2 linked regions of the Sus scrofa genome follow. The protein of the gene in region 1 purifies or fractionates together with the protein of each later gene. This does not show direct contact. Links are inferred from orthologs where the notes say so. Each region holds a gene or a part of one and is shown in the gene's direction. Other genes may lie near its edges.

Region 1 (5,618 bases):
TATATCAAGCAACCATTTTAGTAACTAGCCATTAGCTAGCAAATCTTTCAAGACTTTAAGATGTAGTGTGTATATGTATAACTGAATCACTTTGTTGTACAGCAGAAATTATCACAACATTGTAAATCAACTATGCTTCAATAAAACTTTTAAAAATGAAAAAAAAAAAAGACGTCAAGTACTTCCAGACTTGATTCAATGTTTTGTTTTGTTCTGTTTTTAAATCTGAGGTACCTTTTGTTTAGTAATCTCTTTCATCTTTTCAAAGCCTGATACACCTGTATTTGACTGGTGGCACTTTTTGCTAGCTCTATGACCTTGGATGAATAACCCACCTTTTCCCAGCATCTGTATATTCCTGTGTAAGGAATAATAATTTCTACCTTCCATGGGAATTATCAAAATTAGAGGTGATGCAGATACAATACTTGGCACATAGGAAGTATTCAGTAATAGGTAGCGCTATTAAAATTGTCTTTCCTATGGATTTATTTAGTTAATCAGACATTCATCAATACATTAGCAAATGCCTTCTTTAAATTTACACTAGTAGTAAAGACAACCAATATTTACATCTAGAAAAGATAAACCTGTAGTGTGACCACAGAGTTCCTATACAAGGTCTTTACCATTTGCTAAATAAATATTTATTTTTCTCTATGTTTTTCTATATATCTTCCTTGTTCTCATTCAGTCATTCATTGACAGCTAAAGACCTCACCTAGAGGAAATGTAAAACAAACAATTAACGGGACACATCTTACGCATAGGAACTTAGTAGCTGGTCTGTATACTTGTGATGAGCGCAATGAATGAAAAATATGGGATGGTATAAACACATACAGTAGGGAAACTGACATAATCCTGGGGTTTGGGAATTATGAACTGTCTCAACTGAAACTTGCAGGGAAAAGAGTTAGCCAAGTGAGTGAGTGAGAAAACATCCCAGGCAGGAAGAACTATACATACAAAATGTCTAGAAACAAAAAAGCATGAAGCATTCTAAGAATTCAAAGATGGTAATAAGACTGCAGTGTACAGAGAGAGTTGTTTTAGATGAAGCTAAAAAAAACAGCGTGATCAGAACACTCAGAATCCCATAGCCCATGTTAAAGAGCTTAGACTATATCCTAAGGGAACAGGGAAGCTATTAACAGACTTTAGGCAAGAGGACCAATGGTTAACACCCTCTACACGTGAAAATAAGTAGATTGGGTTCTGTATTTCTGAAGCTCTCAACCAGGGGCCCTCAAACTATGGCCCTTAGTCTGTTTTTATATGGCCTGGATATTTAAAAATAGCTTTTACATTTTTTTAAGAGTCGTTAAAGAAAAAGGAAGAATATGGAACAGAGACCTTATGTGACTTGTCAAGCTTGAAATATCTACTATCTGGCTGAATTCTAAACCATTATTTGAATGCTGGAACTCTGCATTGCTCCAAGCTATTTAGGAAGTTTGCTTTTGAGAATGAAGACAGAAGAAGAGAAGAAATGAAAGAAGAGTGATGGCAGTAGTCTTTAATCTCAGCATGTTTAGTAATAGGGCACCTGGTAAATAATTGTGTGATCTGGACCTCCTATCATTTTCTTTCTCAATGGGGCAAACACATACAATAAGGAAAATGCATGCAAAAAAGATATCTGCAGACTATCGCAATTATGGCAGTTTGCCATAGGGGGAGATGGTATGGAGAGGTGTGCTTTGCCTCGCCCCACAAAATGGCAAAAGGAAATACTAGTTGATTTAAACATAAAATTAGCAGTTCACTCACTCTTCAGCAACTCTTCACACTCCCTACTGGGTTTCTGTTCAACCTGTGGGAATGAAAAGGATACCACACAAGTGCTTTCAAAGCACTATATTTAAGAATGGTACTTCATGTTCAGTGAAGTAATTAATATTCTTGAATTTCAAATAGAGTTATAATTAGATAATGATACAAGTAAAACAGTGGTTCATTAGATTTTCAGGTTGTATCAAACAAATACAAAATCAGATTTGAATCCTTATGTCAAAATGCATGTGGTTTTTATAAATTGGTTTCTAGAAGCCGTCTAATGATAGAGATAGCCAGCATATTTGCATTCTGCTATAGAAGTTTATGTAGTAATGACATCAATCTTTATTTTTATCAGTGGCTACAGGAGTACTGTATTTCTGTAACAACTAGTTTCTTGATCATCTTTTTCTCAATTTCACAGATTATACTGATAGCAAGAAGTAGATTTCAGGCAGCTTCATGGAATAGAATTTCCAAATTGATGTTTATACTCCAGCTGGCAATCTCCCAGGTCTAGCTACTGAAACTTTGATCTTTTCAGGAAGCTATTAGCTAGGTGGTTAGAGTTCAGCTCTACTGACACATGCAGAAAATGCATAGCCAGTTGGATGCTTTTCAGAATAAAGCTATTTATAAGTAAGTTTTTACCTCTTGACTTGGAGATTTGATGTGGATTTGTTAGGGATAGATTGAAGTGCTAAAGTTTAAAATAAAATACACATCTGAAAGCACTGACCAAATAAGTTATACATGGAATTTCCACCTCGAATTGGAGACTAACTTAACCAGTAACTCTTTCTCTATAGTTGAATGGTATAAACTGTGCAGAAATTATAATCTGTTTTTCCCCTTCTTATAGCTTGTAGAGACTTCACTAAAAGGAGAAATTGCCTTTGATCCCCGAAGCGCCTATTACTTGTGGTTTGTGATGGATTTTTGTGACGGAGGAGATATGAATGAGTATCTGTTGTCTAGGAAACCCAATCGTAAAACTAACACCAGCTTCATGCTTCAGCTGAGCAGTGCCCTGGCTTTCTTGCATAAAAACCAGATCATCCATCGAGATCTCAAGCCTGATAACATCTTGATTTCTCAAAGCAGATTGGATACCAGTGACTTGGAACCTACACTGAAAGTGGCCGATTTTGGTCTAAGTAAAGTTTGTTCAGCATCTGGACAGAACCCAGAAGAACCTGTCAGTGTAAACAAGTGTTTCCTTTCCACAGCATGTGGAACAGATTTCTACATGGCTCCTGAAGTGTGGGAGGGACATTATACAGCAAAAGCTGACATCTTTGCTCTGGGGATTATCATCTGGGCAATGCTGGAAAGGATCACATTCATAGACACAGAGACAAAGAAAGAACTCTTGGGGAGTTATGTAAAACAAGGCACTGAGATTGTACCTGTTGGGGAGGCGCTTCTGGAAAATCCCAAAATGGAACTTCTCATTCCTGTGAAGAAAAAGTCTATGAATGGGCGAATGAAACAACTGATTAAGGAAATGCTGGCTGCAAACCCTCAGGATCGTCCAGATGCTTTTGAACTAGAACTCAGATTAGTACAAATTGCATTTAAAGATAGCAGCTGGGAAACGTGACACATTATATTATTTGCAAATATCTTGGATGATATGCTGCTTCTGTTTTAACAGTGATGCAACATAATGTGGCTGAAAAAGAATATAAAAAGCTAAACTCCACCTTCTAAGGGTTTAGATTTTATCATGGAATTTTTTTCTTTCCTCATTTCTCTTAAGTCCAAGCTGGCCATTTTGTTAATATGTTTTAAATGTGTATTACCAATGTAGGTGTAAATTTTTTTAAATGATCATTGGTAGAAGTGTGGCAGGAAAATTCTCTAAGAGCCAAGAAGAAAAGAGTCCAGTTTTCTGGAAAATGTCTCTAAGTATTTTAGACATTCCTTGTCAGTATTAGGAATTTCCATGGAAGAAGAGGTTTGCATGCTGGTAATGCAACCTTTGAAGCTTTGTAAAGGAAACATATATGTATATATTTATGTATATGTAAGTATGTGAATGTGTGCATTTTGCATTCCATATGAAAAAAATGCCACTTCTGTTTAAATTATTTGATGTAGGTTTGGGTTTTTGAGATTTGCTGGTGAAATCAGTGATGAAAAATAAAAGAACCTTCCCTTATCTTCCTACCCTGTTCCTCCCTCTAATGAAATCATACTAAGTTTTTTTTATTTTTGTAATATTATACAGCTTTTTTTAAGGCATCGTTTTGGAGAGTCTAAAATTATCTCATTAAGCATGAGTGAAGTTAAGTGATCCAAAGCTGCTGAAGTATGAGCTCTCCAGTGCCCTATAGCTGCAGGAGTTGAATTAGCCATGCAGTCATGTGATAGCAAATTGGCAAGGACATTGATGATTCAGTCATACTTTCTTTAGGTAACCAAGCATTCAATTAACCAATTAAACCACTGCATTAGGACATGTCTGCACTTGAGCATCTACAATCTGATATAAATCTGAACACAAGATTCTTCTGTTGCTGAAAACTTTGCTGTAGATGAGCTGTAGTACATGATAAATTAGTTTTTGATTTCAAGATTTTGTCTAAGCCTCAGCGTAAAGTTGAAGAAACCAAATGAGCTCTACCCTCACATTGCCTGCCCTAATATGGTCTCTTGTTTAATCACTGGAATTCCTTTCATTTTGGCACTAATGCTATTTTCTCTCATCTAATTTGACACAGGAATGGTAGTGATATGGTTGTATTCAATGTTGATCACCTTTTTCTAAAGTGGGAGATGATACCTATACAGCTTGGCAAATGGGTAAAATATTGCGGCATCAATTATCTTTCAAATAGAAAAGTTATCAGTTTTATACAATCACTTGGTGTGGTCTATGTCAAGAACCAGTAGACTTATTTTTCTTGAAGTCGGTTTGATTGTAACCCCTTATGGTTATCTCCAATTTGTCTTCCTGTAAATGCAGATAGTTCAAATCTAAGGGAAGAAAGTTTTCCTAAAACAGTACATTAGCCTTTAAGGTTGTTAATAATTTAAGAACATTGTATATAGGTTAATCTTTATAAAGCACTAGAGTCTTTGGTCAAAAGTTTAAAAAAAAGTATTAGAAATATTGAAATCATTGATAGTTCAGATAGTCTCCTCAGCCTTTTTGAACTTCCACAACTTTTGGAATATTGCTATCGTAATCTTCTTATTTAAAATGTGTTCAGGGGACTATAAAAGGTGAAAAAGCACAAAAAATTGGAGTACATAAAATTTCTGAACTATGCATTACTTGGTCTGGAAGTTTAAAATTTGGACTGAAAGGGTAAAACCTTTTAAATGAAAAAAGTCATATCCTTTTAACATTACTTTCAAGCTAATAAATATAAGAATTCTTTAGGAAATTAGAGATGGAAATATACTGGAACTTCATGATAATTGACCCTCTGGATTGCCAAATTAGTATAATACAGATCTGGCCAAGAGGATTGAATTTATGGAATTCATTATAATGTCTCATCGATAACATGGCACTTCAGCAGAGATTTATGATGATTTAGGTGATGGTATGCCAATGCTTTGTATGCTCTTCAAATATCTACATGTCATGGTTTCCTAAGTACATAGTTTTTGGTCCTGCCTCATTTAAAATAGTTAATGATTATAACTTATTTTGAAAAATACTTTATTTTACCTGTGAAGTGGAATTCCTTCTTTCATTGGCAGTAAAGAAGTGAGGTAACCAGGAAGTTTCTTCTGAAATTTTCTCAAGTCCTTGTATTCTAAAATAGCCTATAATACCAAGAAGAATGATGGTAAATTCTTTGTCTTTATTTGTTCTTTCAGTC
Region 2 (6,401 bases), on another chromosome or scaffold:
CTCCTATCTGATCTAAAGTGCTATGAAAATAATTGTAATGTAATCCCCTCTTTAACTTATTCAATATTTATTGAGTACTTACTGTGTACCAGGCACTGTTCTAGACCTGGCCCTGCCCTCATGGAGCTGAAAGTGAATGAAGGAAGGCAGATACAAACCACAAATCTCAAATCTCATTTAATCCTTTTTTTTTTTTTTTTTAGGGCTGCACTCTTGGCATATGGAGGTTCCCAGGCTAGGGGTCTAACCTGAACTGTTGCTGCCAGCCTACACCACAGCCACTGCAACTCAGGATCTGAGCTGTGTCTGTGACCCACACCACAGCTCACGACAACGCTGGATCCTTAACCCACTGAGCAAGGCCAGGGATCAAACTTGCAACCTCATGGTTCCTAGCTGGATTCATTTCCACTGCGCCAGGACAGGAACTCCAAATCTCATTTAATCTTGACTCCCGCGCCCCAGTCACTCTCTAAGCCTCGTGGAATTTCAGTCTTCACAGTCCGAAATCACGGTAGGCATTTCTGTTTACATATGGATCTTTCTCCCTTACCAGCCTCCAGGGGCAGCAGAACAGGGACCCAGCTGGTTTTGTTGGTTGCTGTAGCCTGACAGCCTGGCCACAGTACCCCGGCACACAGTAGGCACTTGCCAAATATGTGTTAAATGAACTGTGAAATAAATGATGGAGTAACAGCAGACTCGCATGCGTGACCTCCCCAAATCCTAGGTGTGTCATCACCCAGATGAGGAAATCAAGGCTCAGGAAGGCAAAGCTGACTACCCAGTCCTACCACCACAGCTAAGCATTGTCTGGCTGTGGGATGCAGCAGAGAAAGCTTGGGTAGCTTAGAGGAGCATTCCCAGTCCCCCACCCCCATCACACAGGTGTAAGACATACAGCCAGGGAAGCACTGATGTGGGGAGGGCGGTTGGGAGACCCGGGGACGGTGCAAAGCAACTCGGGGATCTCTGTCTCAGTTCCCAGGACTAGAGATGCTGTGTTGGCAGGAGGTTAGGAAACGCTTGGCACTGTTGGGGGAGCTTCCGGCGCCCTGTCCCCAGTTCTGGGAGCTGAGTCTCCTGGGATCCTGTTTCGCTGGGGCCAGGAAGTTCCAGTATCCGCAGCCAGGTAGAGACCCCCGTGTATACCCGGAATCCCCGACATCCGGGGTTCTCCCCACACACCTTCAGCCCAGAAGCCGGCCTGAAGCCCTCAGAGGGCGTACAGGGGGGACTTTGATTTTAATGGGGGGTACCTGACTTTTCTGGGGGACAGGAAAACTCCCTCCGTCTTAGCCCCCTCCCTCTTGGGCGCCAGGTTCCCCTCCCCACCGCAGCTTTTAGCCCAAATCTTACCTTGCAGGGGGACTGGGGAGGGGATGCCCCGCCCTCTCCGGCCTGGGGGGCGGGAGGGGACAGGGGTGTCCAGACCCTTTGTTGTTTGCTGGTGTGTGTGTGTGTGTGTGTGTGTGTGTGTGTGTGCGCGCGCGCGCACGCGCGATTGTCAGACCTGAGGTGTGGGTCCGTGCGCGCGCGAGCCCAGGCCGTGACGGCTGCTGAGATGCTGGACTGCCGGGGCTGGAGAGGGAGGAGGAGGAGAGGGGGACTCCCCCGCCCCCGCCCGCCTCCTTGCCGGTTTGAATGAAGCGTGAGGGGGAGGGGAGGCAGCGGGCAGGAGCTTTGTCAGGACGTGTCCCCTCCCCTTCCCCCGACTGGGGAATCCCCTCCCATCCCCCCTGCGCCCCCATTTAGAGACCTTTACTCCTTTCTCTCCAGCCTTTTCCCTCCAAACGCCCACTCTGGGGGAGTCTGGAAGAGGCGCCCTTCACGCAAGTGGTTGAAGCTTCTCCCATCCCCCACGCCATCGGAGCATCCTTTAATCTGAGATAATCCCGGCCCTAGGCTGCAACGCGGCCTTTTATCCTGGTATCAAAGCGTGGGTAGGGATATATGAAAGTGTGTGGCTGGGGTCGCTCAAGCTCAATGTAAGAGTCCTTAGAGCCCAGGACCAGAAAAGGGGCCCCAGACGAAAGGGGAAGGCCTGCTAGCGGTCCTAGAGCACTACCACCGGGAAAGATTCCCCACTTGGTGTGAGGCCAGAAGCACTGGCCGCTAGTTAGACATTGGTGCCACCCAGCGGCCGCACGGGGAGACGCTGTGGATCGGCTCCCGAGACTAGTTAAATGAAGTCTGGGTGATTCCGAAGGGGGGCGCGCGAATCCCCGTTCAGGAGTGGCAGAAGCGAGGAGGAGGCTGTGGTTCGAGCCGGGGAAACACCAGGCCCCAAGGCAGAGCCACAGCACTCCCATCACCTCCAACCCCTCAAGGGCAGGGCCATATCCTTCCTTCACTTAGACCCTCCCAGGACAGGGTCCTGTACCCCTCGGACTGGGAAGGTCCTTCCATATCAGACAACCTCCCCAACACAGCTAAATCCCCCTTCACAAGGAACCCAGCAGTGGGCTAGGGCTGACGTCACTGCAGCGTGGCTAAGAGGACAATCCTCTCCCTCAGGCTCGCCAACTGCTCACTTACGGCCGCCGTAAAGGCCCACTATGCGGCGGCAGGAGATTAGCGGGGCTCGAGGTTGGAGAACCCACTCATATACCCCCCAGGAAGTGCCCGAAGCAGGATGGGATGAGGTTTGAGGGAGAATCCCAGGAGTTGGGACACGTGCGCAGGGCTCTTTAAGAACTCGGTCGCCAGGGCCGCTGCCAGGGTTACTAAGGATGTGACGTCACGTGCGGGCGGGGGCGTGCGCGCCCAGACGGAAGCGGAAGGGGCGGGGCTCGGCGGTCCGAGTCTCCGTGCTGCCGCTACCGCCGCCAGAGTCGGAGCTGGCTGGGCCGCCAAGGCAAGATGGTGGACTACAGCGTGTGGGATCACATCGAGGTGTCTGACGATGAAGACGAGACGCACCCCAATATCGACACTGCCAGCCTCTTCCGCTGGAGGCACCAGGTAGAGCGCGCGCGGCCAGCCCCTTCCCCCACTCCCGGGTCTCTGCTTCAGAGTTCTGACTTCAGATACTGCTAGGAACCCGGCCATGGACACCTGAGATTCCCACCCTACAGTCTGGACTTTCAGTAGCGCCCAGGGTTCTTCGATTCAACTCCGGGATCCCAGAACTTCCGGGACCCTTGAGTCCCTTGCCTGCTATCCGAGCCTCCCCCTGCCGATTTCTTCTTGGAACTCCCAGTTCACCCCTAGGGCACCTTCTTCAGAGTTTAACTACCAAGACAAGCTTTGGGCTTCCCCCCCAGTTCCGTTTGGGACCTTCCATTTACGCTCCGAATCTTACCTCAGAATCTTGACCCTGATCCTATTCAAGTACCCCCTTGTGATCTTGGACATCCCATGGGCCCCTCCCAATCCCTAGAGTTCCCAGTACTTTAAGTTGTAAGTCTGTTCTTCGATCGGCCTTTCTGGGTCCCAGTGGTGATTCCCGTTTAGATCCAGAAATCCTCTAAATACAACAAGGAATTCTGTCCTTCCTTGAGATTTCTGTTCCTGGCGTGGGACTCCAGCCCACACCCAGGACCCCTTTCCTGGAACTTAAACCAGTGCCCATCAGTATCCTTAGTCCCATCTAGGACTGGCATTTTGAAACCTAGTTCCCTTTCAGATTGAACCACCAGCTCTACCCTTGATGGAGCTTCCAATTCCGGCCACTCTCCTTCAGCCTCACATACTGTAGACCCAGTTTCCCATTATGTCAGGAAATCCTACCCACGTGGCTTCCCCCCAGCTAGAGCCCCTGCCCCTGCTTGGTACTGCAGACCCAGTCACCAAACTCTCCCCCCCACCCAAGACAGGCTTCCTGTAGGAGTCAGCTTTGGAAAGCCTCATTCAAATGCAAGTCCAGGACCCAAACCCACCCCTTCTTCCTTCTGACCCTAGCATGGACTGCTGATCTCAGACACCCAGAGTGACCCTGCTTTTACCAGAAACCCTCCCAGTCTGATTCCAGATTCATTGCCCTACTTTTACTTATTCCCCAAATCCAGACTCCAGGATCCCAAAGTCTGTTCTCTTGCCCTTCTCCCACCCAGCAGTGTTCACAGGCCAGCAAAATAGCCCTCCTAAGATGTAATGTTCTAGCCTCCTGCTCCCCAAAATCAGAGCTCCGGCACCCACATTCCTGTGCCTATGAGACTTTGAAACTCAGGGCATATACCTCTCAGAACCTTCCAGTTAGGAATTCCTCACCCCATTTTTCCGTGTATCAGCTCCCAGTCCTTTTTCTAGAAACTCCTAGAAGGGCTCTTCCCCTTCCTGCCAAGACACAGCATGAGTCCCTACATCTGCTACCCAGTGCTAGTTCCAACCCATTCCTTAAAGCAGCAGTCTCCTGGGTAGTGTCCCTGCTGGGCAAGCCGCTGGAGTGTAAGAAGAAAGTTCTAGCACTTCTCTCTTTCTTGCCATGTGTAACATTTTATCATGAAATATTTAAGATCTCTGCAAAGCTCTGAAGACTATCCTCAGGAACATGGATTACTGTCACATAGTCAATCTATGCCACTGTGTGGTGGATGTTCTGGTCCTGCTGGGCGGCAGGCTAGTGCCCCCTCTCCTACCTCGTCTTCCTCTCACCACGCCCTTCTCCCTCCTGGCCAAAACTCTTTCCTGGCCTGCTACTGAGAGTTCCTGGGCAGCGGTGGAGAGGGTCGGAGGTAGAGAGCCTGGTGTCTCCAGCAGCACCAAGTTCAGTGGCAGGCAAGCCTAGGTTCTTATCCCAGCCCTGCCACAGGACACTGGTGCTTTACTCTAGGGGGAGCAAGACCCCCACCTCCACGAGTCAATCATAGGAAGTGAGTAAGCATTCCAGAGGGAAAGAGGGGATTCTAGAACAAATAGCCTGGAGTGCTTCTGAGCGCAGGCCTGCCCACCTGGGTTCAGATCCTGGCTCCTTCAGAATCACAGACTTACTGCCTGGCAAGTTGTTTTTTCTTTTTCTTTTCTTTTTTTTTTTTCATTTTTGGCCACCCCATGGCATGTGACGTTCCCAGGCCAGAGATCAGATTTGAGTCGCAGTCGTGACCAAAGCTGCAGCTGTGGCACTGGCAGATCCTTGACCCACTGTGCCAGGTCGGGGATTGAACCAGAGTCACAGTGCTCCCAAGATGCCACCTGTCTCGTGCCACAGTGGGAGCCCTCCCAGTGAGTTTGGATTGCTCTGTGCCTTCATTTCCCCAGCAGGGAATCTTCACAGTATCTACCCCATAGGGTTGTTGTGAGGATCACCTTTTGTATTTAATGTGTGTTAACACTCTCAGGACAGCACACGGATGGAATAAGTTCTGTGGAGACTTTAGTTTTTGTCATCGTTTAGGTCATTCACACTCATGGTAAAAAAAAAAAGAACCTCAAGATTCCAGAGGGGACAGGTGAGTCCTCCCAGCTCCAGCTCCCTGCCTCCCTGGCTCCCTTGCCCAGAGACAAATAAGTACTGGTTTCTTGTGGCCCCTTCCAGTGAGCTTATGTGGCATCAAGGTTCTGGGAGCCTCGGTTCCCTTATGTATAAGGCAAGGTGTCAGTGACACCTGTGGCCCCTTCTCACTGCTGGGGCTTCTGCCCTGCCCAGCTGGGTACAGCCCCTCCTAGAGCTGTAAAGCCCATGCCAGGCAGGCTGCCACCCTCACCGCTCCAGGAGTCCTTTATTTAGCTTGGGCCTCCTGGCAGCTGCTCAGAGGATGCCGAGATTTCGATGGCTACCCAGCAGAAACCAGCAGCGTGGTACGTTCCTGCTGTCACCTGAGGCCAACCATAGAGAGCCCCTCATATTGTAGCGGGAAGGCTCCAGGGCGACGCAGGCCCATCATGGAGCAAGAGAGGTGACAGAAGATGCAAGGCATTCCCTGCAAAGCAAGGGCTTTCTCCCATCTTCATCCACATGGGAAAAGCGAGGCTTGTGATTGGCTGGGTTGTTCCTGTGGAGCAATAGAGAAGGGCTCAGGTCTCCCAACTCTCACCCAGCATGGGCCCGGCCCTGTGCTAGGACCTAGAGATCCAACCTCGAATAAAGTACAGAAGCAAGTTAGCAGACCATCCTTGTGGCCTTGGCCGTGACAATGGTGTTAACAGTGGGACGTGTATACTGAGTGCTGTGTTGCAAGTGGTTTCCTTGAAGTAACTCTTTTAGTCCTCGCAACAACTCTGTGAGGCCCCATTTTTTTGGAGGGGGGACACCAAGGCAGGGAGAGGTGTAAGCAGCTTGGCCAAGGTCACAAGCCAGTAAGTGCCAGTATGATGCAGCAGCAACCACTCCCAGTGACCCGCATTTACTCTGGGCTAAGCACTTTGAAGTACATTTTCTTATTTGAGCCCCTGTGTAGTCCCCAGAAAGAGATTGTCTGCCCGGACAGGCAGTAATGACATTAGTCAGCATGGAAATGCTG

The links. The genes of interacting proteins can lie anywhere in the genome.
Region 2: the proteins of PDIK1L (region 1) and CDC37 purify together in Homo sapiens (affinity purification with mass spectrometry; 3 studies listed by BioGRID and IntAct, counting the BioPlex papers as one, with this or other methods). This does not show direct contact. The link is inferred for Sus scrofa from reciprocal best matches to the Homo sapiens genes PDIK1L and CDC37.

What each region holds. Positions count from the first base shown.
Region 1 is NC_010448.4:83,547,935-83,553,552, forward strand, and holds part of PDIK1L (serine/threonine-protein kinase PDIK1L), read left to right. Parts: intron 1-1,319; coding exon of another isoform or gene 1,320-1,328; exon of another isoform or gene 1,329-2,635; intron 2,636-2,641; coding exon 2,642-3,382; 3' UTR 3,383-5,618.
Region 2 is NC_010444.4:69,209,277-69,215,677, reverse strand, and holds the start of CDC37 (hsp90 co-chaperone Cdc37), read left to right. Parts: upstream 1-2,768; 5' UTR 2,769-2,862; coding exon 2,863-2,964; intron 2,965-6,401. UniProt on the Homo sapiens protein: Co-chaperone that binds to numerous kinases and promotes their interaction with the Hsp90 complex, resulting in stabilization and promotion of their activity. Inhibits HSP90AA1 ATPase activity.